Tamandua tetradactyla: one gene and its partners. The protein of the gene in region 1 interacts with the protein of each later gene in a pairwise test. Links are inferred from orthologs where the notes say so. Each region holds a gene or a part of one and is shown in the gene's direction. Other genes may lie near its edges. The genes, in order: RBM17, SF1, DHX15 and SAT1.

Region 1 (8,083 bases):
GGTCAGGAGATAAGACCCAGAGCACTAAGTCTCCACAGGGAGCACAGCAGCCCCAGAGCCACCCAGACCTCTCAGAGTCCCCTTGGACAAGAGATTAACTTTTCTTGTCTTAAACTATTGAGGTTTTGGTGTTTGTTATCACAGTATGATCTAGCTCATCTGGACTGATGTGGTGTACTGTGTGGTCTGTAAAAAGAATGAGGTAGATATATATGTGCTGAAATGGAAAATATCCAAGATATCTTAAACGAGAAAAAGTAGAGACATAACAATACAGAAAATTATTCTAGTTGTGATTTTTGTAAAAGTTATCTATGGAAAGAGAAAGATTTCCAGGTGAAAGAGATTCAAAGAGACATGCAACTTGGACTGGATTTATAGCAAAAGAAAACTTCTTTTTTTTTTGCTATAAATAACATTAGCAGGGCGGGCGATGGTGGTGCAGTGGCAGAGTTCTCGCCTGGCATGCTGGAGACCTGGGTTCGATTCTCCATGCCTGTCCATGCCAAAAAAAAAAAGAAAAAAAAAGGACATTACCAGGACAATCTGTGAAATTTGAATAAAGTCTATAGATTAGATAATCACATTACATGAATGTTTGTTTCCTGATTTTTATAACTGTACTTTGGTCATATGAGAAAATGTACTTGTTTTTTTAGGAAACACACTGAAGTATTTAGTGGTAAAAGGGCATTACATTTGCAATTTACTTTCAAATTGTTCAGAAAAAAAATAGAGAAAGAAGATGGTACAGTAAAATGCTAATATTTGGAAGTCTGGATGAAGGGCTTATGAGTTTTTGTGTTATTATTATTGTTTTCTATGCCTGAAATGATTTCAAAGCAAAAAGCTAAAACTCTCATACACACACACACACACACACACACACACACATGCTATGAAACTATAAAGTATAATGATCTCTGGGTAGGTGGATGGTGGAATTCAGAGGTAGAAGAGAGAATTTTACTTTTCTTTGGATACCTTTTTATTCTATTTGAATTCCCCAGAGTTAGTAAGTGTTTATGGTTTTCAGACGCAAAGTTTGAAGTCATTTGTTTTGTAGTGATAATTGTTCTAATACCAAGGGACTCCTACCAAAATAGAAACTGCTGCAGGAAAAAGATTAAACCTGAACCCAAACCAAAAAAGTAAGTGCTTTAACAAAATGAAATTATAATGAGAAGGGAAATTTCAATCATAAAGTATGACTTTCAAACTTTCAAATAAACTAAAATAAAATTAGAAAAAAAAAGAATGACTTCTCTTCTTTCTCATGAACCAAATTTTAAGTGTCCTTAAAAGTTTAGCCCAAGGCTCACTTTTTCTCTTAAGTGTCAGTTGAGTCAGAGACTTTGGGGTGAGATAGATACCGTGTTCTCATCATGACTCTACCACTTGCTAAATGCCCCTGGGAATGTCATTTCACCTAAGTAAGCATCACTTGTCAAATGGGAATAATACAATCTCACAGAACTGTTAAGAGAGTTATCTAAATAAATACCAGGGCCTCCTCCCCAGTCTGCCAGGAACCTCTTTTCTTTTCCTCCAGGTCCAGTTCATGTGTGAGGTAACCAATGCCCAAGACAAAAAAAAAAACACTGACAAAAAAAAAAAAAAGATTATTATACTTTCCTTTTAAGAGCATGTACAGGGATTTCCATGGTGTTTGTGGTAGATGGAATTATGGACCCAAACAAACATAGGTTCTTAATCTTAATCCACACACCCATGGGTGTGAACCCACGGTAAATAAGACCTCCATCTATTTCTTCTGTTCAACAAATCTCTGGCCCCCAGGAAGGAGTGCTGTCCACAGCACAGTGGGTTGTCCATCTCCTGCTGCAGACTGGGTAGAGAGACAGCTAAGGACCTACCTTCACTCATACTAAGCGAGATTTTAATCTCCTACTAGTTCGAGCCATTGCCTGCATTTCTAAAACAAAGTTTCTTCTACTGAGACTTTGGTACCACCCTTTCCCAGCCTTTTCCACATCTCCTTGCCCACTGGCTTTCCCATGAACCCACAACCCAACTCTCTCTCTCTCCCTAGTTGTGTTACTTCTGGCTATTTCCTTAATCTGTCTAATCCTTTCTTTCCATGCCATCTTTCCCTTCCACCAAGACTGAGAGCTGCTGAGGTTGACCACCTGCATGAGCAGGCTCCGACAATCAGAACAGCCCTTTAAGAAAATTTTGGGTTTCACAGGTGAGCCTGAACCCAAGAATCAGACCTATTTATAACTCTGAACTTAAGCCTGACTAAATTTGAACCAATAATCTGGATTTCATTCCAGAAAAGCCTCCCCAACTTTAGGTCACCTCTGAAATGGAGTTGACCTCCATAAGCCTTAGTCTCCAAGTCAACCCTAGAAATAAATCCTCTGAACCCAGGAAGGATCCCTCCAAAATTGTGACTGAGCACTCACTGTAGCCCTGAGCACTTTGTCTTACTTTACTCCCGAGGCTTTTCTCTGCTCTAAAAGAGGGCAGATCCCCAGCAACCCTGAGACTGGCCTCAGCCTAGGACTGAGAACTTCTGTCCCAATGTACTTCTTTGTGCTAATATTTTATTTAGGATTTTTGCATTGAAAATCACAAATGACAAAAGAATAAAATTTTCTTTGGGCTGTATCTGTTGGCTTTAAACAAGGCATTTGGAAGTTTTCCTCCTTAGTTTGCTCAGTAACAAATAGCACAACAGAATTTGTTGTCCCTAGGCGTCTGGTAAAATTGCCCTGTGGATATATCTGGACCTGGTACCTTTTTGGAAGGTAGTTCTTTGCCATTCTCTAAATCTCCAGTGATGATTGGTCTGCTTAAATTTTCTAACTCTTGTAGCATCCATTTTGGGGAAATTATATTCTCCTAAAAGTTATCTATTTCATCCAGACTTTCAGATTTGTTTGATAAAACTGAACAAAGTCATCTTTTAAGATAAGTTACTTTTCTCTGTATTTGTGGTGAATTCCCCTTATCATCCAATATTTTGTATACTTGTGCTTACTCCCTTTTTTCTTGTTTAATTATCAGCTCATCTATTCATTTCCAAAGAATCAGTTGTATTTATTGCTTAATTTCATGTTTTTCTGGTTTATATACCATTATTTTTGCTCTCATCCTCATTAATTACTTCCTTCTGCTTAAAAAAAATGATTTTGTTGTTCTATTTCTAAATTCTTCCATGGGTGCTTCATTCACCCAGTTCATTCTAATTTTTTAAATTAGTGCAAACATCTAAAACCATAAATTTTCCTCTTAGTATTGTTGTAGTTAAATCCCATGAGTTCTAGTATGTCATTTTCATTTCTGTATTCTTCTATATATATTACACTGTTTTGATTTTGTCTTCCTTTTGACCCAAATATTATATAAGCATTTTTAAATTTCCAAGGAGTAGGATTTTTTTCTGTTACTAATGTCTAGTTTTACTGGACTGTGATCAGATAATATCGATATGGTTCTACTCATTGGAATATATCAAGTTTTGTTTGTGGCCTAAAATATGGTCAAATTTTGTGGATATTCCATGGATGCTTAAAAAGAAGCAGTAATCTCTGTTTCAGGGTACAGAGTTTGATATGTTAGATTTATCATATTAGCTACATTTTTAGGTCTTCTCTACCCTTATTTACTTTTGTGCCCTTAATCAGTCATGGACTGTACCAGTGGTTTCCATCTATTAATTCTCTTTACATCTCCTTTAGTGTTTGCTATGAATAATGCAATTATGTTCTTTGATGCACAGATTCTTTTTCCTTTACTGTGAATTGTACCCCCTTATATTTATTAACCTCCTTATGTTCCCCATCCTGAAATCAAGCTTGTGTAAGACTAGGTTTGTGATCCCTGAATTCTTTATTTCTGGTATATCTTTTCCATTCTTCTATTTTCAAACTTTCAGAATCCCCTTATTTTAGTATTCCTTCTCAGATACAATACAGAATTGAGCTATGTCTTGTGCTCCAGTTTGAAGTTGCATTTTTTGATAGGTGAGCTTAACACATTCATGTTTACTAACATGAGATATTTGGTTATAGTTCTGTCATCATCTTATACTTTCTGTTTTGTAACTTTTTCAAATATCTCACACTTGATTTTGTTTGTTTTGTTGTGTGTTGCTTGATAATTTAAAAGGTTTGTGTTTTTATTCTGGTTTATCATTATATCAATGACAAGATGTTCTTAATCCTCTATTTAGAATCTCTATTGACTCCCTACCTTACTTCTTTCTTTTTCGCCTTGCCCTCCCTTTTCTTAGTCACCGGGTTTTATATGATTATATCTTATCTTTTTTTAATGTTTCTTTGTACTAAAACATATGCTTAAATCTATTATTTGATTTAGCTTGAAATATTTTGACCCCCAATTATAAGTCTGAAAATAAGCATATTTACACCAAACCCCACTTTCTTTTTCCCTTCCAACTTCTGTAGTCATGTAGTTTTAAAATTGTGAGGGACTATAACATTTACTTTCATTTCTGCAATCCCAATCCTGAGGCTTATAGGCAAATCAATTCAATGCTCACTGCCATTTATTTTGCTGTGAATATTTCCATTCATCTCGTCTATGGTGATTTATTTTTAGTTCTTTGCATTAGAATGGAGAACCAGAAGAGATTCTCTCCTTTACCCTGTTAGAAAACAGTTAGCTATCGAGAAGATCGCGGTTGTCCTGGACCATTTCTTCTTCTGCCCATCTGGGGTCACTGCCACTTTCTTCTACTATTTAGATTTCAATAACTTGCGCCACTGCGACACCTTTTGGTGAAAGAAAGAGACGCTGGCGGAGGAGGGAGAGCAGTACCGACCTCCCACCGAGAGGTGCCGCTGCAGACGCGGCGCCGTGGCACAGGCGTCCCCTCTCTACTGGCGGCGCACGCTCCTTCATCCCCGCGCCGCGGAGCCCCTCCGGATTTGGCGTAGGAGTTGGCGCTGACTCCGTGGCCCGGTGTCGTCGGCGGGCTTACGCAGGGTGCGTCTCCTCTTCTGGCCGCCGCGCTTCCGGGCTCGGTACGGAGCTTGCGCGTCTCGGCCCCGGCTCCGTGGTGCCGCCACTCCGGCCCATGGGGAAGGTCGTCTGGGCGAGCCGGGTAAGTAGCCCCCTCGTCGCCACCCCGCCGGCCTGGCTGCGAAGCTGGGGCGGGAGCGCCAGCCAGGACCGCGCCGGACGCGAGGCCGTAGATTAGGCCGCGCCGCGCAGGGGGCGGGAGGGTCCGACATCGCCAGCCCCAAGCTGAGGGCGATCTCGTCCTCCAGCTCTCAGGCCCCGGGTTCCCTGCGCTGAGCCCATTCGCGCCTTGCCCCTGGCTTCGTTCCCAGAGCTGCTGTCGGGAGCCTCTGGCCCGGTTCTCCTCCTCCTCCATATTCTCTTCTCTCCGCCTCCAAGCGCAGCACCTTTTCGTGCGTTTGCCACTTTTTTTTCTCATCCTCCAGTCCCAGTCTTTCGTACTCTTACTCTCTCCTTCCTGTTCTCTTTTATCTGCCAGTTTCAGTCTTTCGGGGGCTAAAGAACGTTCCTTCTCTTCGTTGATCATGTGTGAAAAAGTTTGTCGGTCCCTTGACCCTGTTTCCAGGGCAATATGTCACCTGTGCCCAGCACTCTTGTGTCCCTCCAGGACTCAGGAAGTGGAGAGGATAAAACCCATTTCCTCCCAGAACTTCGAAACTGGGAATTCCAGATGTCAAAAAATTGGAACCTACCTGGGCAAGTGAAGAAAACCATGACTTCCCCGTTACCTTGGTCCTTGTCATTTTACAGTGGACTTGTAAATTGTCAGGTCCTGGTTTTAGCTCTGTTGTTCAATCATCAAACATTTTTCGAGCATTTACTCTTACCCAGACAGTATGTTATCAACTGTGATCTACGAATATGTCGCTACTTTCATGAAATGTGGTCTCTAGAGAAACTAGGCATGAAAACCCTACCTGGGTTGATCTGAGAGACTAGAGTGGGATCTGGAAAGACTTTCGAAGTGGAGCTGATACTTATGCTGATTCTTGAAGGGTAAATGATATTTTTTTAACCCACAAGGAGAGGAAAAGGTTTCCTGCAAAGGAAACAAGTGCAAAAGTACCAGAAAGGCGAAGCACCATAATACTTGGGTAACTGCGGGTAAGGCAGAGAAAAAAGTTTGAGGAGAAATTATTTGGAAGGTTAGTCATGTCAGACCATGAGGGGGTCTTTGAGAAGTAAGGGAGGACCATCAAAGGTACTTGTCAGATAAGCCAGGTATGAAGTTGGAAAATAGAATATTGAAGATAGGATAAGATTCTACATACACTCAAATAGACCATGAGAACCTGTGTCCCTGCCACAGGTAAAGTTTTTAAACACTGCCGGTCAGTTTCTACATTTTTGCTACAAAAAGGCCACACATTTTGAGTATAATAAGGATTTTTAGGGAATATGGAGTAATAAGTTAGTAATGCAAACCAAGAGTTTTATGATTAGAATTTATTAAGCGGTGATTAGGTACTGCAGAGAAGAGTAGGTTGTGATATTAACAAAAACGTAAGATGGAATAGAAGTTAATAGTGAAGAGCGATTCTGATTGTGAAGTTCTGTGGCAACTAAAGATAGCCTTTATGGGAAATAAGAATTTTCAGAGAATTGTTAAATGTCCCCCCAAAACGTAACTTATTAAGGTGATTCTTTACCCTGTTTTAGTTTATCTTCTTATTCTTCCCTGCAAGTGAATTCTTCAGACCTCCCCTTGCAGGGAAACAGATGATCCAGGGTTAGTAATCCCTCAAACCTTTCATAATAGTAAGTGATAGAAGATACTCAATTATACACTTTAATTCCAGGTGACTCTAGTGGGCTTTGTCTGCAGTGTACTCCAGTCTGTGTCATTTTGGTCAATAAGTCTATGAAAATGAATGGAAATATTAAACAGAATGAACATGTGAGAGTGGGAGGTACAGGAAATTTCTTTTAAACTCCTTTAAAAAGTTATCATAAATGGGGCAGTGTGACGGTGGTTCAGTGGCAGAATTCTCGCCTGCCATGCCGGAGACCTAGGTTTGATTCCTGGTGCCTGCCCATGCAAGAAAAAATAATAAATAATAATAATAATTAATGTTATACATGAGGCATAAACCTTTTATAGCTGTATTTTTTGTGGACAACAAAGTGCATCACCCCTCATGGTTTCCTTCTTGTTCCTTTCTGTGTATGCTTGCTGTATTCTTCAGGCTTCAAAGAGGAGGCTTTGGTTTTATGATACATAAATATCTATGTAGTGATAAAAAGGTTTCTTGCCAAACCTTCTTTAGGTGTTCAGAACTCAGACCTTTGTTGTGGGTTGTACAGTAGTAGTAGTTTTTCTCACTTTAATTATGTTAATACAGTTTAAAAGTCATCAAACATATTAAATTTCATTTCCTGTAAGATATGTCTTTAAATACAGATCTGCAGATCTTATGGATGTTAATAATGTGATTTAAATAGATGCTGTGGTAGTTAGGTTCAGTTGTCAACTTGGCCAGGTGAAGGTGCTTAGTTCTGTTGCTGTGGACATGAGCCAATGGTATGTGAACCTCATTTGTTGCTCATTACATCTGCAGTCGGCTAGGAGGTGTGCCTGCTACAATGAATAATGTTTGATTTAACTGACTGGTGCTTAAATGAGAGAGCACAACGTAGCACAGCCCAAGCTCAGCATATCTTATCTCAGTACTCAGCCCAGGCCTTTGGAGATACAGAAAGAAATCACCCCGGGGAAAGTTGTTGGAACCCAGAGGCCTGGAGAGAAGGCCAGCAGAGATCACCCTGAGCCTTCCCATGTAAGAAAGAGCCTCATTTGAAAGTTAGCTACCTTTCCTCTGAAGAACTAAGGAAATAAATCCCTTTTTATTAAACGCCAATCCGTCTCTGGTGTGTTGCATTCCGGCAGCTAGCAAACTAGAACAAATGCATTAGCATTTTCTATCTATTCTGTGATACATTTAGAAAATATTTATTAAGTGCCCACAATGTTCTGACCATGATGCTAAACTGGAGATACAAAGATGAAGACAAAAACAGCCCTTTCATTTACAGGGCTTATAATGTAAGACGAATACATAAACCTGTAGGC
Region 2 (7,234 bases), on another chromosome or scaffold:
GAGAACAACATAGGTGAATTTTAGAAATGTCATACTGCATTAAAACAGCAAATTGCACAAAACTATACGTGCTTTGACACCATTTTTATAAAGCTTAAAAAGCAAAACTAACCCATGTATTGTTTGGTATTCCATGCACCATGATAAAACTCTATTAAATCAAGGAGGAGCAAAGCACAAAATTCACGGTGGTGGTCCTCAGAGGGCACTGGGGCATGGGAGGAGGGAGGACCCAGGAACTTGCAAAGCTACTGGTAGTATCTCGGCTCTCGGGTGGGGTGGCAGGTTCAAGGGGGTTCAGTTTGTAACTAAGTTCCTGACCCTCAGGGGCACCACACATCTCTTGTTATGCATCTGATATAATAAAATGCAATTCTAAATATTTAAAAATAACTAAAACCCCCCCACAAAACCCTATAGTGGCTAAAACAAAACAAAAGTACCAAAAGAATCCTTTCTTAGATGATGAAAGACTGATGAAATCACCTATGAATCACATCTGTGCTCTGCTTTACAGAATTGTGGGTAGAACCCTTGCCCTGTGGCTGCTGTTATTTCTTTAAAAAGAAAAAAACGCTTTGAGGCATAGCTGATGTACAGTAAGCCTTGTGCTATTTGATGAGTTTTGACATATGCATACACCCATGAAACCATCATCATAATCAAGATAATGAAATACATCCATCACCCCCCAAAGTTTCTTCCCTTGGTAATCCCTACCCCATTCCTTCCCTGTCTCCAGGAAACCAGTGATCTGCTGTCACTATAGGTTAATTTGCACTTCCTAGAATTTATATAAATAGAATCATACAGCACATGCTCTACTTTTCTCTGGCTTCTTTCACTTGGCATAATTATTTTGACATTCATCCATGTTGTTGTATGTGTTAATGGTTTATTCCTTTTTACTGCTGAGTAGTATTCCATTGCATGGAGCTTGTTTAGCCAGCGCTTACTGATGGGCACCTGGGAGTGATTCCAGTTTGGGACTATTACAAATAAAACTGCTGTGAACATTCATGTACAGTCTTTGTGTCAATATATACTTCCACTTCTAATGGGTAACTACTTTGGAGTGGAATGGCCGGGTCATATTGCAGGGGAGTATTTCAAGAAATTGCTGAACAGTCTTCCCAAGCAGTTGCAACATTTTACATTCCCACCCAGCAGTGTAGGAAGAGTTCCAGTTTCTCCTTGCTAATACTGTGTCTGGTCAGTCTTCTTAAGTGTGCTGTATTTACTGGATAAATATTTCCTTTTCAAAACCTTTTTTTTTTCTTTTTCGCATGGGCAGGCACCAGGAATAGAACCCGGCTTTCCGGCATGGCAGGCGAGAACTCTGCCTGCTGAGCCACCGTGGCCCGCCCTTCATTTTCAAAACAATTTAAACATCACTTCCCCCCTTTATTGTCTGCAATATTAGCTTCATTTTTTTTTTTTTTTGTTTATAGGAATCATACTTGCTCCTTACAAAAATAAAAATAATAAAGTATAAGGGAAAAAAGCAAAAGTTACGTGAGATTCGTGCTACTAGAGATTGGGACTGTCCATTGTGAATCTATGCCTACAGAGTTATACAATGCTATATAAATGGACTAGTGTCACACATATTCTATAAGTATGAAGCATATTAAAAAAAACTATATTGGGCTCTTAAAATGTGTTAGATAACTTCCAGGCTCACTTCTCCCCCCACTCCTGCATCTTCACTGAGAACCAGTGCTGTATATCCTTCACTAGCTTTTCCTATACAGAACCCTGTGCGAATGCCCTTGCACACATGTATGAGGTTTGTTTTGCAAAAACAAGATCAAGGAATATATATTTCTATGCTGCTTTTCTCATTTAATAACACTTCAGCAGGAAAGGCCCTCCAAGTCAGTTGGTAGTGACTAACTCTTTTTCAAGGCTGCCTAATAGTCCAGACTGTGGATAGTCCAGTTTGTTCAACCATTCACATACTACTGGAAAATCACTTTGTTTCCAGGATTTTGCCACTGCAAACAATTCGAAGTGAATGACTTTGAACACATGATGCAATCACATGCTTCTCTATGGGATTCAAAGGGGGGTATCTGGTTTCCAAAAAAAGGAAATTTATCCACCTTCCTTTTTTGCTATTTATATGAAGAGCCTCATTGTCGCCATAATTTGCATTTCCCTCTTAGGACTGTTGCAACCCTTTCACATTTCTTGGCTATCTGCTTTTTAGAGATTTGTGAGGATGCCAAATCTTACCTGAGGGCTGTGATCCCGGAAAACAGCAAAAGTTAAGAAATCCCCCCACTCTGTGCTCCGGAAAAAGGGCTCACTGCAAAGAACCCCCCTTCCGGAAGTGATTTAGATAAGACTCCCAGATGGTATGGGGGACCGGACACAGACTCTCCAAATTCTCATTCTTCAATTCATCGCTGGACTGATCAGAACAAAATGCCTGTTAACCAAACTTTGGTTAAGCTTCTCTCTTCCTCCAGCACCCTGAACTTTAGCCCATCCTCAGCCGGAGCTAGCACAGTCCTTCCTGGAAACAGGCTGGCCTTCGCCTCCATTCTCTGATTACACCACTCTTTTATCCCACTTCCCCACACCTGGGTCTACACCCCTCTCTCGGAAAGCCTCTTAGCCTAACTCTTGAGACTCTGCTGAACCGGCAGTCAGTGTTCTCCCTGTTGTATATTCTCTTTTCCTATACTCTTGCAATGATCCTTTCAAATAAAGTCCTTACCGGCTCTGGACTTGTCCATCTGACAACTGCCCATTCAGGCTCTTTGCTCACTTTCTCTGATTAAGTTTTTGAGTTTTTTTCAGAGTTACTAGTTCTTTATCTGTCATACGTGTGGCAAATGGTTTTTCTAATCTGTAAATTTTCTATTGACTTTTACCATACAAAGTTTTATATTTTTTTGATCAAGTATGTCTTTTTTTTTTTAATCTTTACTTTATGGTTTCCAAGTTTCCTGTCTTCATAAAGTCAACTCCTAGAATATTTTTATAAATCTGCTAAGTTGTATTCTAGATGTTTGATCATTGTTTATACTTAAGACTATACCATACATTAACTAAATCTTCTTCTGCCTGATTTGAAATACTACCTCAGGTATTTCTACCGCTATCTGGGGAAATTTATTTCAGGACTCTACTACTTTCCACTTTGTTAACGCAACATCAAATTGTTTTCACTCCTGAGTTTATATACCAATGCTGACAATCTGGAAGGCAAGACCTCAGTATTTTCGACAAGTGGGAAACCACGATTTTCAGTCACTCTTCTATATAACTTTAAGGTGATGTTATCAAATCCCGCTTCCCTCCCCACCAAAAAAGAACCCAGTTGGGATTTTGGTGGAAAGATTATACATTCGTGAATTAATTTTAGAATCACAATTTTACAGTGTCTTCCAGCCAAGGTTATACATTCTTGCATCGGCTCAGGTATTGTTTAAAATCTTTCACCAAGACTTAAAAGTTGTTGTTTTCTACTTATTTTTTTAAATCTCCTTTTAACCAGCAGCGTCAACGGATCTGCGGCTGGGGCCCGCGCCGGCCCCTCCCCGCGCCCCACGGTTCCGGGTTACCATAGGGATCTAGGCCTGACGTCACCGAGGGCTTCCGCGCCAGGCCCCGGGGTTGACCGCAAAGGGAGTGGGGCAGAGAGGCGGCCCCGGCATTGACGCCTGCGCACTTCCAGCCCCCGTCCTTTCCGCTCCACCCCCCCCCCCCCCCCGCAGAGTCTCGTTCCCGGGCTCCTCCGCCGCGACTTCTCCTCCAATCCAGCCGAAACTGCCCCCTGGGGGAGGGGAGAAGAAAAGGAATCAAACGAGCTGCAGCCAATCCTACGACACTACGACGCAACCTAGTTTGATTGACTCAATCAATATTAGCCAATGAGGGAGCGCCTCAGCCTCACGTCACAGAGCTGGCCCCACCCCGCACCTTCTTTCCTGGACTCGGGGCTCAGTTCGCGCAGTAACAAATGAAGTGAGTGCCGCGACACCTCTCAGCTCACGAGGCTCCGCCGCCATTTCCTTTCTTGGCCTAACGGTTCGGCCAATCCCAGCGCACATCGAGAGAGGCAAGGGCTCCGCCAATCCGGGGACGCCGATCCCGACCCCTGGCCTCGGTCTGGGCCAATCAAGGCCCCGGCCCCGTCGCCCCCGGCCCGCCCCCGCGGCGCCCTCTCTCCTCCCTCTTTGTGCGTCTCGCGCCGCCGCCGCCGCCGCCGCCCGCCGCCCGCCGCCCGCCGCGTGAGAGGACGGGCTCAGCGCGCTCCGCGGCAGCGCAGTCGGGTCCCCTCCCCCCGGGAGATTCGCGAAGAAGAAGCCGCCGCCGCCGCTGAGGAACAGCAGCCGCAGGCGCCGGTCCCCGGGGGCGCCATGGCGACCGGAGCGAACGCCACGCCGCTGGGTAAGCTGCCCCCCCCCGGCATGCCCCCCCTTCCCGGGTCCAAGGGGGCCTTCGAGCCGGGGCAGCCGCCTGCCCCTGGGCCTGGGGCGGGACTGCCGGGGTCCGGGCCGCCGCCACCGCCGCCCGTGGGATCGATGGGGGCCCTGACCGCGGCCTTCCCCTTCGCGGCGCTACCGCCGCCGCCTCCCCCGCCGCCGCCCCCCCCGCCGCCCCAGCAGCCGCCACCGCCTCCCGGTTCTTCGTGCCCGCCTCCGCCGCCGCCCCCTCCTCCTCCTCCGCCGCTCTACCAGCGCGTGTCGCCGCCGCCACCGCCGCCACCCCAGCCGCCGCGTCAGGACCAGCAGGCCGGCCGGGCCGGCGGGGGAGGAGGTGAGTCGGGCCGAGAGCGCGAGAGGCGTCGCGCGGACCGGCCCGGCCGGCTGAGGGGCGCGCGGCAGTGGCGACGGTGGCTGCACGCGGCGGGGGCGCGCGCGCGCGCGCGCGAGGAGACCCGGGCGGAGGCGCTGCAGGGAGCGCGCGGCCCAGTACTCGGAGCCTGTAGCGCGCAAGCGCGCTGATGGGAGGCGGAAAGGGTGGGGGGGTGGACGAGAGGTTTGCTGTGCGCAGGCGCAATGTGGTAGCCAGGCCTGGCAGTGCAACTCGAAAAACGGGAGGCCCTTAGAGTAAGGGACCCGTGGTGTGGCGGGGTGCTGGGTGTGGAGGCCGGGTAGGCGTGGGATGGCCACCTGACAACGGGGAACGTTCCTTTCCTGGTCCTAGAATTTGGGCACGTTAATAAGTGGCCTGAAAGGGAGGGAAGCGAGCAAGGCCACTCTCCTTACAGTAAGAATTAAAAGGGCTGGGAGTCAGGGGATGTTGATTTTTTTGGCTCTATTTTTTTTTTTTTTTTTGGTGGTGGGGGGAGAGATTCTTTGGTCCACTCTGCCTTAGCTGTTATTTCTTAGTCTCTCACTTCATTTGCTCCAGAGCTCTGTGTCTGATTGCCCCGCCTTCCCTTACTGTTCCTTTAAAGGGTCTTCTCTGGAGACCTGTGTCCTTTGGGAAATAGTTTTTGCGTGGTGAAGAAGTTTCTGCCTTTGTGTGGGGGAAACAGTGTTTGGCTACTTTTGATAACTTTTGTTGAGTTTGTAATACATCTATTCAGAGTTCAAATTGTGAAGGTCTTGGCAGGGAAAATTGAATGCTAGTCTTGATTAACCATTGGAAGAAAAAAATGATCTAAATAGAGCTTTTTCCTTTACTAGTGTGTTATGGTAGGTTGTGTTTTGGGTGCATTCAGGAAGAGATTGGTGAAGGTGGAGATGGGAGGAGGCAGCAGTTCTCCAATATTGCTTTAACTTGTTCCTAATTCTCTACTTTTGTTTTCCCCTGGGGCCTTTCAAGACTTCATGACAGATGTAGTGTGTATTTTCTCAACACTTTATTTTGTTATCTGAAACTTTGTGCTTAGATTTGTTACCTTGTATACACACCTTACATTGTTTTTATGGAGGAAAATTCTAAACATGAAATGTTTACTTCTTTTGACCCAGATCCAGGCAGAAGCCATATGTTTGCATCTGAGTTATGAGGTTTATCTTTGCTAATTAAATTTTTGGTTAACATTTCAGTTTCACAGTCTACCGAGATTTGTGTAATATCCTAAGTATCCTTAACTGCCTATTGGTAGTTACTCTGCTGGTTTATATTTGCATCTGATGGATTTTATCTCCTTTTAGATTTCCCAAGTAAGAAGCGGAAGAGGAGCCGCTGGAACCAGGACACAATGGAACAGAAGACAGTGATCCCAGGAATGCCAACAGTTATCCCCCCTGGACTTACTCGGGAACAAGAAAGAGCTTATATAGGTAAATACACGTTCTGCATACAAATGCATTTTCATACTGTTATTCAGAGCAATATTTCTGTCTGTTGGAAACTTGAGGTTTTAAAGTTTTCTATTTTGAGAAAGCGCTATGTTCAGGTGTACTTTCAAGACTTTCACATAATACATCAGTTTTTACTTAGTGGGTCCTGCATTTGCAGCTCCTTGTTTTGGTCTGTTAACACCATTGTTCTCCTTGAGTGCCAGGAAGGTAGAGGGGCCCACTTAGGAGTGAGAATAGTTCCCAGGCCAGAAGGCCCCCCTCCCCCACCCCCCATCCTTTTCAGCTGCTGTTCAGTTTCCTTACCAGTTGATGAGGTGAGTGCCTTGTGCCTCTGGACACAGCCCCAGTGGCGAACACTGCAGGTATTGTAAACTCAAGTAATTTTTCACTCAGCATGGCCTTTCACCATAATTTCATATTCCTCCTTTTCCCTAAAATGTGGTCTTTTACTTTTTATAGGTACTTTCTGAGGGGGGGACTCAGTTTGAACAAAAAGTGACTCTGAAAGTGTGTTTACAGTTCACCCATTTTACCATTCTGTTGACCTTCCTGTCATCTTTTCTGGTGTGGTTTTTGGAGAGCTATCTTAAAATGAAGGCTCTTGTATCATTACTAAAGGACTCTTCTGAAAAAGGGATACTGCTTCGAAATGAAATGAGGTGGTAGGATAAAAGATCTTAATTGTTGGGAAATTTCAAGATTTAAGAGTGACTGTCCACAGTTAATGGAAATTAACTTCAGGATTACCTTTTTTTTTTAACTACAAGGGTTTTAATGCAAGTTTTACGTTTACCTGTGCTGCTGTCTTAGCAACATTTATTTGATAAATATGATTTTCTACTAACCAAATAAACATCCCCTTGTGAGGAAATTAGGGCAAAGGCCTTTTACTTTTAGAGTTACGAAGCTCTGTGGCTGTCAGAAAACTTCAAGACCAGCATGTTATTTTTGAGAATCCTCAT
Region 3 (8,007 bases), on another chromosome or scaffold:
TATCTACATCATTGTCCTTCTCCCAGAAGAACTTTTAATATTTTTTTTTTTTGCAAGATAGGTCTGTTAGAAGTGGATTCTCTCAGTTTTTATTTAACTAAGAGATCTTCATATCTCCTCTATTCTTTTCATATCTCCTCTATTTTGAAGGATACTTTTGCTAAATATAGGGTTTTTCTCCTGTCAAACTTTATTTCATTCCACTCTTTTCTTGCTTGCCTAGTTTCTGATGTGAAATCTGCTGCAAGCCTTGTCCTTGTTTCTCTCTATTTTTTTCTCTGACTTCTTTCATGATTTTCTCTGTCTTTGCTTTTCTGCGATTTGAATATGATATGCCTTGCTGTTTATTTCTGGTATTTATCTTGTGTGATGTTTTCTGAGCTTCCTGATTTTGTGATTTGGTGTCTCTCATTAATTTTAAAAAGTTCTCAGCCATTATAACTTCAAATATTTCTTCTTTTCCTTCTGGTACTCCCAGTATGTATATATCCCACTTTGAAATTGTTCCATAGTTCTTGGATATTCTGTTCTGTCTTATTCATTCTTTTTTCTCTTTGCATTTCAGTTTGGGAGGTTTTCATTGACCTATTTCCAAGTTCACCGATTCTTTTCTTAGGCATATCCCATTTTCCAATGAGCCCATCAAAGGCATTCTTCATTTCTATTGCAATGTTTTTGTTTTCTAGAATTTCCGTTAGCTTTTCTTCTAGAGTTTCTAACTTTCTACATATATTACCCATCTGTTCTTGCATGTTGTCTACTTTTTCCACTAGCACGCTTGTCGTACTCATAGTTGTTTTAAATTTCTTGTCTGATAACTCTAAATTCCTGAGTCTGCCTGTAATGTTTGCTTTTTCTCTTCAGACTGTTTTTTTTCTTGCCTTTTAGCATGCCTCATAATTTTTTGTTGAAAACTAGCATAATGTATTGGGTAATAGGAATTGAACTAAAAAGGCCTTAAGCTAAAGTGTGAGGGGTTTTTGTTTCTTAATATCCGATCTTATTTATTTGTAACACTTAGAAAATCTTATTTTGGACTGGACTCAGTCTTAGAAGCTCTCAGAGAGGACAGCCTCCATCTCTTGGCAATCTGTTCCTGGCATTTTTCTTTGGCCTCCTTCATTTTCTTGGCCAAAAAGCTTAGCATATTCTGTAGCCTCTTCCTTATTTTTCTTAGTAAGCTGTTTCTTCAGGACAATATGTCAGCTGATGCTTGTTGCAGGACACATGGAGTAATGTTGACTCTTGGGTGCTTTGGTCTGGGTTTCTTACCTTCTTTGTTCAGGGGCATTCTCGTAACATAATGGTGGACATTATCTTCTTTAGAGAGAATGAAAAGTTTGCAGATTCTGCTGGCTTTTTTGGGCCGCAGGAGACAAGGCACAGTAGTATCAGTCAGTCCAGAAATTTCCTTCTCTCCTTTTCTTACAATAACCAAGTTGAGAACACCTAGATTGGCATCCACAATGCAACCCTGAACAGATTTGTGCTTTCTTTCTCCAATTCTCCTTGGTCTATAACAGGAGTGCCCCTTCCTCAGTAAAAGGTGGACATGGCCATGGGTCAAGACACCCTGCTATATGGGGAAACTTTGTCGTTTCCTTCACTGAATCAGATGACATAACCCTTCCACTCTTTGCCCAGAGCGTCAGCAGCAACTTCTGTGGTCATTTGCTTCTCATAAAAGGTACATAGTTTGCGTTTATCGTCCATTTCAGTGAGCTTCTGGCAGCCAGTGGCTGGGAAGATGTTCGATTTCATGCTGAGGCAGTTGACTGCCTCCTGAGGTGCCACAGAAAAAGAGTTAAAGTGTGAGATTTTATGTTAATTTGGCTATGTGTGGGGCTGTGTTTGATGTTTGCTGTGGCTGTAGGTGACAGAGGTTTCAAATTTCTCAGGTGTCCTTGTTTAGTCTCCACTGTTGATTTCTGATCTTACCTAAGAACTATTTTTAATATGGAATTTGCACCTTGCAGTCTTTTCAGCTGTAGCCCACTCTTGTAAACCCTGCAGATGTGATGAGAAGGGGTTGTGAAGGTAGAGTATTCTATAATATTACTATTAAATCTCAGTCTTTAAAGTGTCTGTGTCACTGAGCTGGGAACTTTACAAGTGTTTCTTAGCTCCCTTCCCCCCTTAGGTAAAACAGGAAGGTTAGAGAGGGCTTCAGAGGGAGAAATACCTTATCTTAGCTGAGATAAGGTTCTGGTTAAGCCTTGTCCCTGAAGAGTAGGCCCCTGTTATGGAGAAAGATCTGGGCATATTTCATCATGGTTACTCTTCCCTGACCCTGCCAGAGTCACAAGGCCTCTTTCTTGGCTCTTCATTGTGATAACCTGGAATGTTACTGGAGATAAAACCCATGGAAATGTCAGGGCTCTCCTGAGAGTGAAGTCTTCAGGAATTTCTTACTCTCAAATTAATCCACACTCAGCCTCTAGCAATTTTCCAAAATTACAATTTAGGTTTTCTACCAGTGGTTCCAGTGGCTTCTACTCTAGGTAAACGAATCTAGGCTGTCACTCTTTGAATTTGCCCATTCCTCCTGATTTCAAGGTGGTGGTTGACACTGCAGACTCAATTTCTAATGGGTTCAAGAAAAATCATTAATTTTCAGTTTGCTCAGCTTTTTCTTCTGGTAAAGATGGAGTAATGACTTCAAGCTCTTAACGGTTGGAGCTGAAATCAGAAATCCCTCCCCAGGTTGTTTTTGGTTTAGTATCTTGGCTGGGATGGAGGAGGAACAGTTTCATAAGCACCCACGTGGCTTTCCCCACTATTATAGCTCTCTTACTTCTTACAGGTCAAGAATTCAAGATGTGGGTTGTGCAAACTATCAAGGACATCTATTCTAAGCATATATTTAGAGATCGGTAACATGAAAGCTGGGTGGGTATGAGAACACAGTGTACCTACTGTGAGCTGGGTCTGAGACAGACTTCCATGCAAGACTCTTATATGCTCTCACTACCATATGCATGCAATAACACTCTGGGTGTCACAGTATATCAGTGTTGATTCAGATTCCATATTCAATTGTCCCTGAAATATTCGTCCTTTCCCTGGCATGGCTACCTAATTAAATGGCCTGCGGGAAAGGACTGGGGGAATCGTTTCTGTGTACAACTTGTTATGGTGTTACAGCGTCCTTTCTCCTGGGGATCCAGCCTTTCCTTCAGTCAATGTATTCCAGGTCCAAACTTTGGTTCAGGTTCAGAAATTGAGCAAGGGATCATGACTTTTTAGTGGGGAAACTACTGTCAATATCTTGATCAACCACTCTTGATTTACTTTGGTTGTACAGATTGAGGACTTCCTTTGATTGATGCCCACCTATTAGCTCTAGGCACGCCTTATTTTATTTATTGTCCCTATGACCTCTGTGGTTTAGGCCCCCTTGTCTGTCACTCCTACCTTGTAGCATCCACCTAGGTTCTGATGTCTAAGTGCCACCATGTGACCTCCAAGTTATGTGGTGCTAACATCCTTCCTGCTCTCAGGGAGCCCAGTTCTGTATTGGGATCTTCCACGATTAGCCCTAGACTATAGAGAAAGCCACCACTGAATTTCTGAGTGGAGCTGGTGGCTTTCCCACCAGTGCATTCTTTATTGATGTGGTAGGCAATGTATCCTTTGAACTCTGTGGAATATATTCATTTGCTGGGTTTTCTGGCCTTAGTAACTATTTCACTCTGGCATACTTAGGGCTTTTGCTTAGGTTGTTTCCTCTGCCTGGAACACTTTTCTCCCACTTTGGCTAATTCATATCCATTTTTAGGTCTTCTTTGTTAATGTCACTTTCTTAGAGAGATCTTTCTTAACCCTCTCAGTCTAGATGAGGGACACTGGTTATATGCTCTCATAACATTTGTCATCTTTAGTGGGCCTCCTTACCACTCACCACAGCTTTAAGGACAGAATTATTTATGTGCTTAGCTGTTTAATGTCTGTCTCTCCCTTTCTGATAACCGTAAAAAGTGAGTTATCTTGCTGTACCAATTTGCTATTCCTTTAGCGAAATGGCTGTGCGATTTTGAGTATGCTTCTAAACTTCCCCACCCCCACCTCAGGCTTTAGCTTCTACATCTATAAAACAACACTCATCTTGCAGGATAACTGCAAGAATGAGAGATAGAGAGATGATTAATTCTGTGGCAAGCACAGAATATGCATTTAGGGAAAAAATGCGAATTATCCCCTTACTGCCACTTTCCTCTATTACAGCAAAATGTCTATAGGTCAAACACACGTTGCCTGTGCTGGGTAAAGAAAGGGAAAAATGGACCATAGCAAGCCATGACATTTTCTTATCTCAATTTCCTCACTGCAATTAAGAGTATGTGGTGCAGAGGCTGCAAGTTCTAGCTTTGGAGTTATAAAGAGTTGCTTTCCGATCTTGATTCTGCCACTAATTGTGTGATCTTGGTTAGTGTCTCGTCTTCCCTAGATCTGTTTCCCAGGCAAGGTTAAAACAAACGGGTAGGATTTTCCAACTAGGACTAGACTGTCCTCGTACAGAGGGGGATGGGAAGTCTGATGCAGCGAGTAAAGACCTCCGGTGGCTTCACAGAACGAAGAAGGCGCAGGGAAAGTAGACGACGGGGTATGGGAAGAGAAAGCAAACCATTGAGGTGGCAGGCGGAGCCTAGGTTGCCGCCTCTGGGAGGCGGGCGCGCGCACCACGCATACACGCATAGCACGCACGCCGCGGAGGCGCGCGCGCAGGCCCAGCCCTCGTCGCCGCCGCCATTTTAGCTCCTGGTTCCGGCCGCACGGTGTAAGCTGTTGTAGCGGGAGGGGTGGGGGTCCTTGAGAGTTAAGTAGCTGTCCTCGACTGCGCCGTTACAGCCGCCAGCTTCTTCTTTTTCTCTTGTTTCGTAACTGCCCCATCAGAGTGTGCGAAGATGTCCAAACGGCACCGATTGGACCTGGGGGAGGATTACCCCTCCGGCAAGAAGCGTGCGGGGACCGATGGGTAAGTCAGGCCAGCGGCGCGAGGCAGAGGCTCGGGCTTTGTTGGGGTCGCGGCGGGCCGGCGCGGAGCGGGCCAGAGCCGGCCAGGCCGAGCGGGCCCGGGAGCCCTAGCCTTTGTTTCTTTATGAGCTCGACTTACCAGCGGCGGGTCAGTGGGAGCCGCGCCACTCCCAGCGTTCGGCCCGACAAGGGCGCGGGGGGAATGTGTGTGTGTCTGGGCCGCCGCCCGGCCTTGTTGGGTGGGGATGGAGGCCTGTTGTGGCCACGAGAGCGCCTCCTCTGCCGGGTCGAACCGAGCGAGTCATTTCGAAGGGGGCGGGAGGGAACTGCAGACCTCGTGGCCTCGGTTCTTGGGTAAGGCCTGGAGCTGAGGGGTGGGGGGAGGGTGCGGCGGGAGAATTCCCTTCCAAGGGCATTAGGTAATTCTCAGGCAGAAGGGTCGGGGAGAGGGCCTTTGGGGTGGGGGTGGGGAGGCAGTTGGATGCTGAGGGAAGGGAGAGGCGGAGGGTGGGAAGTGAGAGAAGCGCGTGGGTTCTTGTGTAGGCTGGGATGGGGGTGGCGGGAGTTGAGTGTGAGGCGTGTAGCCGAGGAGTTCTCAGGGGAGGGAGAGTGGAGGGCCTGTGGTGAGAAAGGAAAATGTCGTGTATACCTGGCGGGCTGGGAAGGCTTGTGGGACCGAGAAGGCTGCAGTTCACAGTTTGGCGGGAGAGAGCGTGCCTCGGTCCATTCAAACACTTCGAAGTAGATAACTAGGCAAACTTCCGCTCTCTGCTAACCCTCCCGCCATCTCCTTTATTTCCTGCTTTAGTTATTGGGCATCCAAAGGGCGTAGGAATTAGAAGGCATTCTTTTTTCCTGTGAGTTCTTATTTGTCGATGTTTTCTTCTCCTTTCCTAAGAGGGTTTTGTAATACGGAGACCCTTTTGAAAAAATGGTTTTTGTATTATGGCAAAATACCGCTCGGGAGTTAGTTTGAGGGTTGAAATACTTACAGACTCATCATGTTTCTACCTACTTTAATTTGCGTTTTCTTAAAGGTACATAAGAATTTAACAATAAACTTTAGCAATTGCATCAGAGTTATTACTTGTCTTGTGTGTTTTCATTCCCGAAGTACCAAAATGTATTTTTAGATAATTCACGCAAAACCACGAAAGCCTGACATACAAATACTTTGCATAATTTTGTAATTTTACTGTATGTGTGCACAGAATTACTGTCAAGTTATCTATATAGTTTTTGTGAATTTTTGTTAATCCGAAGCCTTGACCTGGATTGGTTGCCAGGTATACTGGGAAGGAACAGATGCATATATTTATGTTAGTGTGTATGTCCACTAACATAAGGTAAGAGTACTTTTTGGTGTCTTCCCATATATTGAATTTCGAAAGCAGAAGTATGTCGTATTTTAATCTTGTATATTCTTTAGTTTACAGCATTAGACATAAGTTTTCATTCCCCCTTGTCTACAGTCCTTCCCACCCGGAAGGAAAACACTAAAACTTTAGCATATTTGAGCCTAAGTTCACAGACTCTTAGACCTGATTGGGGCTTTAGATATATAGTGTTATCTGCTGTAGAAAAACACTAAAACTTTAGCATATTTGAGCCTAAGTTCACAGACTCTTAGACCTGATTGGGGCTTTAGATATATAGTGTTATCTGCTCTACTCAAGGGATGAGAAATCGAGACCCAGAGTAAAGGTGGCTTTTGCAAGTTTGCACAGCTGGATCCAGCACCCCGACCTTTCATTTTTACTCTTCACCTGTTGCTTTTTTCATTACACCGCACAGCCTATGGTTGTAGTTTAACCATTATGGTCTACTTTAATGACATTTATAATGGGTTGGTAAAGTAGGGAACACTTGGTTCTTGATGCCTCTGAAGCAAAAATAAATTGCTTATCATCTGGCTTGTGTCTCACGAGTTTTCACATTGGAGCAAGACATTTATACTGGGAAGGAACAGATGCATGTATTTATATTGGTGTGTATGTGCACTGTTTAAAATGCTTTCCTTGAGGTTAGTGGTTCCACGGTTTGTACAAAATGGGTATCTTTAATAAAAATGCCTACTGTTTGGGCCTATGTTTGTGACCTTATGATTCCCCTGTATAGTGTTTAACGTCTACGTGTAGATGAAAAAGAATTAAACTTTTGAATAATGCCTAAATTCTAAGAAACAAATTCTGGAGGGCAGTTTTTATACTTAAAGATCTCATTCTTTAGAAATGTGTTTACAGTGTTTTTAGTGCTCAGAATTTTTTCACACTTGGTAATTTTTAAAAAAATCACTTTTATTGACTGTCTTTCCAAATGCTAACCTGCAATTTTTTTTAAAGCCCTGATAGCATAAGTGGTGATATCTGAGAGTATAGGCTTGCCAATGTTTTGAGCTCCACTGAGCAACAACAGGACTGTCCCACTTCTCCAGTTCTGGTAAGGAAGGGTAATTTGGTGGGAGATTCGTGCTCATATTCATGCTCCCAAACTATATATGACTTTTTCTCTATTTGAATCTTGAGGTCAGAGAAGTTGCAGGTTTATTTTACATACTCGGGCGTTGTTCCTTTTTCTATCATTCCACAGAATTTTCTATATAGAATTATTACCAAAAAAGATAGTTTCCTGTTTAAGTATAGAAAAATGCTTTTTGAAAATGGGGATATTTTTCACTTTGATTTTAGTTTCTGATACTATTTCTGCATAAGAGCATTTCCTTTTAATTGTAGAAAAGTGGATCCTTATACTAAAAATATGATAGCATAATATAGAATACATATTGTGCACTTGATCCTGTTTTAAGTGCTTTATAGGTACAAACACGTTTTCACTACATTCTGTTGTAGATGAGGTTAAGTAGCTTATTCCAGGCAACACAAAAAGTGTCCATACCTAGGGGTATAGAGAAAAAGGCATAAAAAAAAAAAATCCCTGAAAGCCCATCCCTAGCTTATCCTTTGATCAAAATTTTTTTTGATCTCTGTATATTTACTCACAAATACATGATATCAGTGCGATCTTGTGAGTCAT
Region 4 (7,352 bases), on another chromosome or scaffold:
TCCTAATACTTTGAAATGATCCAAAGCTCATCACATACATTCTCCCCTCATAGAGAGAGTACATACTCATAATCTGAAAGGGAGAGCAAAGTCTCACATCCAAGCAAGTGACTTAGAATGACAACCTTTAGTATGAGGTCAAATACTAGTTGACTCAGTAAGTACTTTTTGGAAGGCAGAGCTGAGTGCACTAGTATGGCAGAAAAAGAAGGAACTGAATGGTCCAAGATGGCCTTACTTATACTTACGGCACTTGGTACTAGCTCAGCTGGACCCCTTTCTCTTTTGGGTCTTTCATCCTCAAGGACGTTAGTTCAAACTTCTTCATATGGCAGCAATATTCTGAAAGGGTGTGAGCAGTGGCTCTAAGATCTCTTGAGGCCTTGCTTAGAAGCTATGCAATACCACATCTACTGCATTCTCTTCGTCAAAGCAAGTCACAGAGCTAGTCCAAAGCAAGGGGTGGGAAAATACACTCCACCTCTTGATGAGAGGAGTTACAATGAATTTATGGCCATTTTATATCCACCATACTGTATATACTACCTGAATATCAGCCTTGTGCTTAGAAAAGAAGCCTGGAAGAAAATCAACCAATTATACAGATTAATTTTTGTAAGCCTTTTGTATTTCTACATATCTCAAAATTTAAAAATCAGTATGCATTACTTTTATAACATAAAGAAAAATATGACACTTTCCACAATAATTTAATGGAGCAGGCTGGACAGTTTCACTTTGGCATCAAAATGAACAGAGTTCCTTCTTTTCTAGCTCTTCCACTTCCTGGCTTTGACAACTTCTTGACCCCACTAAGCCTGTATTTTTCAACGGCAAAAATGGAGATAACTTTACCTACTTCACAAGATAGTTGTAAGGATCAAATAAGACAATGAATGCAAAATGCCTAGAAAAGTGCTTAGGTGTTTTTCCATCCCTTTGTACTCTCCCCTCACTAGGTCCTCCTCAGTTACAGTTCTTTTCCTCACGAAGATTAAGTTTTGTTGTAGTAAATTACACACATGTCTCCAAAATTAAACTGTATACCCTGAGGACTGGATTCAAAACTTAGTAATCCTCTATAACTTCAAAGTACCTAGCACAAGTCTGATATGTGCTCATTAAAACCTGTTGATTCGTGGACTTATTAACCAAATAAAAGTTTTCCAAATGCTTGGTAGTTAATCCCTTTTTATGCAGGTTTCAATATAAATCCTGGTATCAAGAGGGAGTAATGGTTCATCCCTACTGCTGCTATCTATGATGAAATTAATCTAAAAATCTCAAAAGCACAACTTGAATCACTGCCACGAAGAAAATTCAAATTACTTAGGATTCTAAGCTTCTACAGATGCACAGACACACTCACGATGGGATTTTTTTAGCCACGTGTTTCTCAGAATGGGCTTTTCTTGTCATAAGGACAAAGCGATGCATAAGAGCATGAAACTTAAACTGGAAAAACAAAATACATTAAAAGAAATAAGAATGCATTTTAATAAGACAAACACTATTCTAAAATACTAAACAACCCAAATAGGAAATGGTCTTTTTTTGCTCCAACTAGGCAGCCATCATTAGTGCTTAGTCATGGAGGTCTAACTCACTGTTATCAGTAAATCTGTAGTAAGTTCCCCTAAATCCTATAATATTTTAGACAGAAGCAGAGGAGGAAAGGGCTTCTGAATGGTCATCCATGAGGTGTAGCCCATAGTGTCAGGAAAGATCCTACCAGCAGTAGTTTAGGCAGATGAGAATCAATCCTATTTTTAAAGAATTTTGAGAAAGACATGTCACAAATTCCCATGGTGATTCACTGGGCGTGCAATCCTGGGAGGGTAGGATGAGAACATATTTTTGCCTTTTCTACATGCAGATTATTGCTAGCAAAGGCAGAGAATCACTTCTTGCATGTTAGGGTGGTCACTTAGTAATAGTCTGCCCTGTCATCCTACAGACTGAAGACACTGCAGGCCCCTTTTATGATTTTTCTCATTGCGAAAATCATCCTTTAACTCATGGCTGAGCCCAGGCAGGGCTGCTGGAACAGGCCTCTCAGCAGGGTCTGCTTGGAAAGGTGGGTGTGTAAAAGAAAACTCATTCTGCAGAGGCTCGCATTCTTGTTCAGTGAGTACAACCCAGAAGAAAACGATGCACTATGTTCTAGTTTGCTAGCTGCTGGAATGCAATATACCAGAAACAGAATGGCTTTTAAAAAGGTGAATTTAATGAGTTGCTAGTTTACAGTTCTAAGGCCAAGAAAATGTCCCAATTAGAGCAAGTCTAAAGAAATGCCCAATCAAGGGCATCTAGGGAAAGATACCTTGGTTCAAGAAGGCCGATGAAGTTCAGGGTTTCTCTCTCAGCTGGAAGGGCACATGGCAAACACGGCATCATCTGCTAGCTTTCTCTTCTGGCTTCCTATTTCATGAAGCTCCCTGGGAGGTGTCTTCCTTCTTCATCTCCAAAGGTCGCTGGCTGGTGGGCTCTCTGCTTTGTAGTGTTGCTCTCTCTGAATCTCTCTGAATCTCTCATTCTCCAAAATGTTTCCTCTTTTATAGGATTTCAGAAACTAATCAAGGCCCACTCAAATGGGTGGAGACATGTCATCCCCTAATCCAGTTTAACAACCATTCTTAACTAAATCACATCAACCAGGGAGATGATCTCATTACAGTTTCAAATATACAATATTGAATAGGGATTATTCTACCATTAAGAAATGGGATTTATATCAAAACATGGCTTTTTCTTAGGGGGCATACTTCCTTTCAAACCAGCACACACTAGTCCAGGGGTTCTCAAACATTTTGCTACCATGGCATTTAAAACCTGAGGGCCCCAAAGAGCTTACCTTTGAAAATTCTAGAAAACATAAGAAGAATATGCAAGCACATATTCCTTAGTTATCAGAGTGCTGATGACATCAAACAGCTGTGAATTTATACTTGTTTTGAAACAGAAAGTTAAAAAAAATTAAAGACGCACAGAGGATGAAATAAAGTTTATTTCCTAAATATAGGATTACATATTTTTAACTGCAGTTACAGAAGGAGAGAGAAATGGAGTAGAGGTAATATAGGAAGAGTTACTGCCTAAGAATTTTCCAAAATTAATAAAAGACACTAGTCAGTCGATTCAAAAAACTTAATGAATCCAAAGAAAAATTTAATTTCTAAAGATCTATTCCAACATCCATCAGAGAGAAACTGAAGAACACCAGATACAAATAAAAGACACAAAAATACTCAGCAGGAAAAAAAAACAGGTATTAATTTTAAAAGAGTGACAACGCACTTTTCAACAGCAATGGAAGGCAGAAAATAGTCCAATGATATATCACTATGTTGAAAGAAAATAACATCTAACCTCAAATTCTATAAGCAGTGACCAAAAAATCCTTCTAGAATTTTAAGATGAATTAAAGACATATTTAGACAAAACTGTGAAAGTCTGACAAAAGACAACGTTCGAAAGGAAATATAAAGAATTTACCTGAGGGAGAACGAAAGTGTTTCCAGCGGGAAGGTCAGAGATTTAAGAAGGAATAAAAGGGGGGGGTAAGAATGAAACCATTTTGTTAACTCTAAAAAAAATTTACAAGTATAAGAAAACAATGACTGAGGAACCCAAATAGCTTACCTTAGAAATTTCTAGAAAACACAAGATTATACAAGCACCCATTCCTTTAGTCATCAAAGGTATGACTACAACAGATCAGGTGGCGCCGGGGAAATTCCAGTGAGAGTAACAAAAAGCAAATGACGTCTTTCTATTACTATGAAAATAGTTTTGTCATCGTCCCGGGACCACACTTTGAGTGCCGTGCTTTAATTCTTCTCCAACTACCCAAGGCCAGGTCTCTTGGGTTTGCTTCACCGACTGCAAAGAAGGTTGGGGGCGACAGGGTGAATTCCTTTCTTCACTTTTGCAAAGGTTACCCCGGGGCGCACGAACCCCGTGGTCGGGTCTCGGGGAAGGTAACACACGGCACCACTAGAGGGCGCCGCCAAGCAATCCTTTCACCACCCCTCCGCCGCCACCCCCGCTCAGGCCTGCGGCGTTCACACGGTCCTCCAGACACCAGGGCGATGCCGGGAAAAGGGAACGGTGCCCCAGGGAAGCGGGAGAGGCGGATGGGGGGCGGGGCCGAGGGGCCGACCGCGGTCTCATTGGACGAGGTGCCTTCGCCTCACGGCCCTGGGCGGGGCTTCCTCGCGCTCAAAAGCTCTGCTGGTTCACTGCCGGGACGCGCAGTTTCAAGTCGCAGCTTCGCGGAAGCTCCCCCGCCGCTACCTTGGTTCGCTGGGTCATGGTGCCAGCCTGACTAGAAAGAGGAAGCTCCCGGGAGACGAATGAGGAACCACCTCCTCCTGCTGTTCAAGTACAGGGGCCTGGTCCGCAAAGGAAAGAGAAGCAAAAGACGAAAATGGCTAAATTCGTGATTCGCCCGGCCACCGCCGCCGACTGCAGTGACATCCTGCGGCTGATCAAGGTAGCGGGAGGCCAGGGACGCCTCCCGGGGCGAGGGTTGAGGCGGGGGCCGAGGGGGGGCGTCGCTCCGTTTCCGGGAGGGTCCGCGTTTCCCAGCCTGGGCTGGTGTCCAGCCAGTGCTGCCCCATTCTCCGCCCACCTCCCCCAGTCCTGGCCCGGCAGGACTCAGGGGGACGAATCGCCACCCCTCCCATCCCCGCCTCATTCACTGGTCGTCCGCCCTCCCTCGACTTGATCCGCCCCTCCCCGAATTGGCCGGAGCCTCACTTTGTTTTCTGCATCTCTCCCTTTCTCTTTTCTGCCTCGCCCCAGGAACTGGCTAAATATGAATACATGGAAGAGCAAGTACTATTAACTGAAAAAGGTAACACGGCAGTGGGGAGGAGGGGAGGAGACGAACGCCCAGTGCCGGGCACCCTCGCCGAGGCCAACACTGTCCCTGCTGCCCCTTTTTTCTTGCAGATCTGCTAGAGGATGGTTTCGGAGAGCACCCCTTCTACCACTGCCTGGTTGCAGAAGTGCCCAAAGAGTACTGGACCCCGGAAGGTATCCACCCAACCCCTTGCCAGTCAGAGACCGAGTGTTGTGTAAAACGTAGCGCCTGCTATGTAGAGCCACTGACTACACAGGTCGAGTTACTTATTGATAAGTCGGTTAGGAATAATAGCCAGCCAGTGTTGAGGAAAAAAGAAAAGAAAAAAAAAAACCGGAGATGTGCTGCACTTAATAATAGGGCGGGTGAAAGAGCTGTTTAAGTATCAGAGCACTGCGGAAACCCGCAAAAGTTAGGTATAATGTCATTTGTTGTAATTCCGTTTCATAAAATGGTTCTTGTTTGACCCTAACGTAACCTTTTTTTGTAATTGTGTTAAATCACATTTTTTTCTTTAATTTGTCCCAATCTTCAGGTTACAGTCTCTAGCTTCGCCATGTACATGGCCCTTCCGTGTACATGGATGGGCGGGGAGGTAACTAAAAGATCCTTTACACAATAAAGTAGATGATCATGATAAATGAGGTAAGGTCCTATTATCACACACTTAAAACACGGTAGATCAGAAACTCCATTACACTTGCTTCCTGTGCTTGCAAAGGAATATAAAATGGCTAGAAAGTTTTAATTTGAAACCTTTGCCTCCCTTTGGAGTTATAGACACCCATAAGAGGGAGTCAGATGTTTTGTTTTGTTTTGTTTTGTTGCTGGTCCCTGTTAACTGGTCACAAGACAGAGCTAAAAAGGGGAAGTTCTTTGGGTGGAAGCTTTCTTAAATGTTTTCTGAAGTTTGTTCCCCAAGCTAGAAGAAATGAGCAGAAAATAGGAGGGATGAAGTACTTTTTAGATGTGAATGTCAAAGCAGCTTTTTCTGGGTACCACTGCTGCTTCTGGCCTCAAAACTGGGGAGAACAAATTGAAAATGTGTGAATTGGAAGGCAAGTTTGGAAATGAAAACGTTGAGTTTTTGGCCTGATGTTCTGACCTTAAGGAAGCAGAGTTTCGAAAAGTACAAGTATTTACTATTCTGAACTGCCGTGTAAATCTGACTTACTTCAAGTCAACATACCAGTATATCAGTGGGATGTAAATAATGTGTGTGTTTCGTTTAAGACCCTAGCAGTTTAGCTCTGGCAAGTAATTAAAGCACTCTCACTTCCTGAGTGAGATCCAGCAGATCTCAGAGTGGCTAGTTCCCTGACCTAGCCTGGCTTCAACTAGCTTTAATGTGTGCTTTTGCAAATACATGTTATGAAAACAGTGAGATCATCCAACAGTGGCCCGGACTGCACTAGTATAAAAGTTAAAAGACAGTCCATTTCAGTGGCTACTCTTCAGTATTTATGCATGTATGTTTTTTTATACCTATGATAGGCTTCTAATTTTGCAGCTACAACTTTGATGGATTATTTTTCTTCTCCATTACTCATATGATACTCTTAATTGCAGGACACAACATTGTTGGTTTTGCCATGTACTATTTTACATATGACCCATGGATTGGCAAGCTATTATATCTTGAGGACTTCTTCGTAATGAGTGATTATAGAGGTATGGTTGAGTTTGGGGCTGGGTCAGGGGCAGTTCTAAGGGGAAATTTAGGGCTTTAAGTCCTTAAAATGACTTTAAAATTGTATTCTTTCTTTTAGGTTTTGGCATTGGATCAGAAATTCTAAAGAATCTAAGCCAGGTATGTCTTAGTTTTGGGTTTCCAAATTAAGGGTTACTGGATTATTTTAATGACTGAATCAAAATTGGGTCTTGGAGAGCAGATAAGATGTCACTGAGTTTCTATATTACTCTCTCTTATAATAGGTTGCGATGAAATGTCGCTGCAGCAGCATGCACTTCTTGGTGGCAGAATGGAATGAACCATCTATCAACTTTTACAAAAGAAGAGGTGCTTCTGATCTGTCCAGTGAGGAAGGATGGCGACTCTTCAAAATTGACAAGGAGTACTTACTAAAAATGGCAACAGAGGAGTGAGGAGTGCTAATGTAGACAATGACAAGTTCCATTCTACTTAGAATAAATTTTCAACCTGTCTTGCTTTCTATCCTGTTTGTAGTAGAGTAATAGAATGAGCACCCATTCCAAAGCTTTATTACCAGTGGCGTTGTTGCATGTTTGAAATGCAGTCTGTTTAAAATGGCAATTGTGTATGCAGTTTGGAGTCATAGTTTTCCTTGAACATCTTTTGATTAAACAAGGTGGTGTGATCTTAATATATATGAAAAAAACTTCACTCTTGTGAGTCATTTAAATGTGTACAATGTACACACTGGTACTTAGAGTTTCTGTTTTGATTCTTTTATAATAAACTGCCCTTTGATTTAATTGTTTGGTATGAGCATTTTTATTAATC

Evidence for each region.
Region 2: the proteins of RBM17 (region 1) and SF1 interact in binary tests that used the Homo sapiens proteins (3 or more experiments, as listed by UniProt). The link is inferred for Tamandua tetradactyla from reciprocal best matches to the Homo sapiens genes RBM17 and SF1.
Region 3: the proteins of RBM17 (region 1) and DHX15 interact in binary tests that used the Homo sapiens proteins (3 or more experiments, as listed by UniProt). The link is inferred for Tamandua tetradactyla from reciprocal best matches to the Homo sapiens genes RBM17 and DHX15.
Region 4: the proteins of RBM17 (region 1) and SAT1 interact in binary tests that used the Homo sapiens proteins (3 or more experiments, as listed by UniProt). The two-hybrid records come from large-scale screens. The link is inferred for Tamandua tetradactyla from reciprocal best matches to the Homo sapiens genes RBM17 and SAT1.

The regions. Positions count from the first base shown.
Region 1 is NC_135333.1:57,822,178-57,830,260, reverse strand, and holds the start of RBM17 (splicing factor 45), read left to right. Parts: upstream 1-4,870; 5' UTR 4,871-5,095; intron 5,096-8,083. UniProt on the Homo sapiens protein: Splice factor that binds to the single-stranded 3'AG at the exon/intron border and promotes its utilization in the second catalytic step. Involved in the regulation of alternative splicing and the utilization of cryptic splice sites.
Region 2 is NC_135335.1:9,769,223-9,776,456, forward strand, and holds the start of SF1 (splicing factor 1), read left to right. Parts: upstream 1-4,228; 5' UTR 4,229-4,373; coding exon 4,374-4,773; intron 4,774-6,122; coding exon 6,123-6,251; intron 6,252-7,234. UniProt on the Homo sapiens protein: Necessary for the ATP-dependent first step of spliceosome assembly. Binds to the intron branch point sequence (BPS) 5'-UACUAAC-3' of the pre-mRNA. May act as transcription repressor.
Region 3 is NC_135345.1:24,465,348-24,473,354, reverse strand, and holds the start of DHX15 (ATP-dependent RNA helicase DHX15), read left to right. Parts: upstream 1-4,721; 5' UTR 4,722-4,904; coding exon 4,905-4,975; intron 4,976-8,007.
Region 4 is NC_135353.1:150,556,132-150,563,483, reverse strand, and holds the start of SAT1 (diamine acetyltransferase 1), read left to right. Parts: upstream 1-4,229; 5' UTR 4,230-4,429; coding exon 4,430-4,495; intron 4,496-4,806; coding exon 4,807-4,858; intron 4,859-4,956; coding exon 4,957-5,040; intron 5,041-6,436; coding exon 6,437-6,538; intron 6,539-6,636; coding exon 6,637-6,677; intron 6,678-6,802; coding exon 6,803-6,973; 3' UTR 6,974-7,352. UniProt on the Homo sapiens protein: Enzyme which catalyzes the acetylation of polyamines. Substrate specificity: norspermidine = spermidine >> spermine > N(1)-acetylspermine. This highly regulated enzyme allows a fine attenuation of the intracellular concentration of polyamines.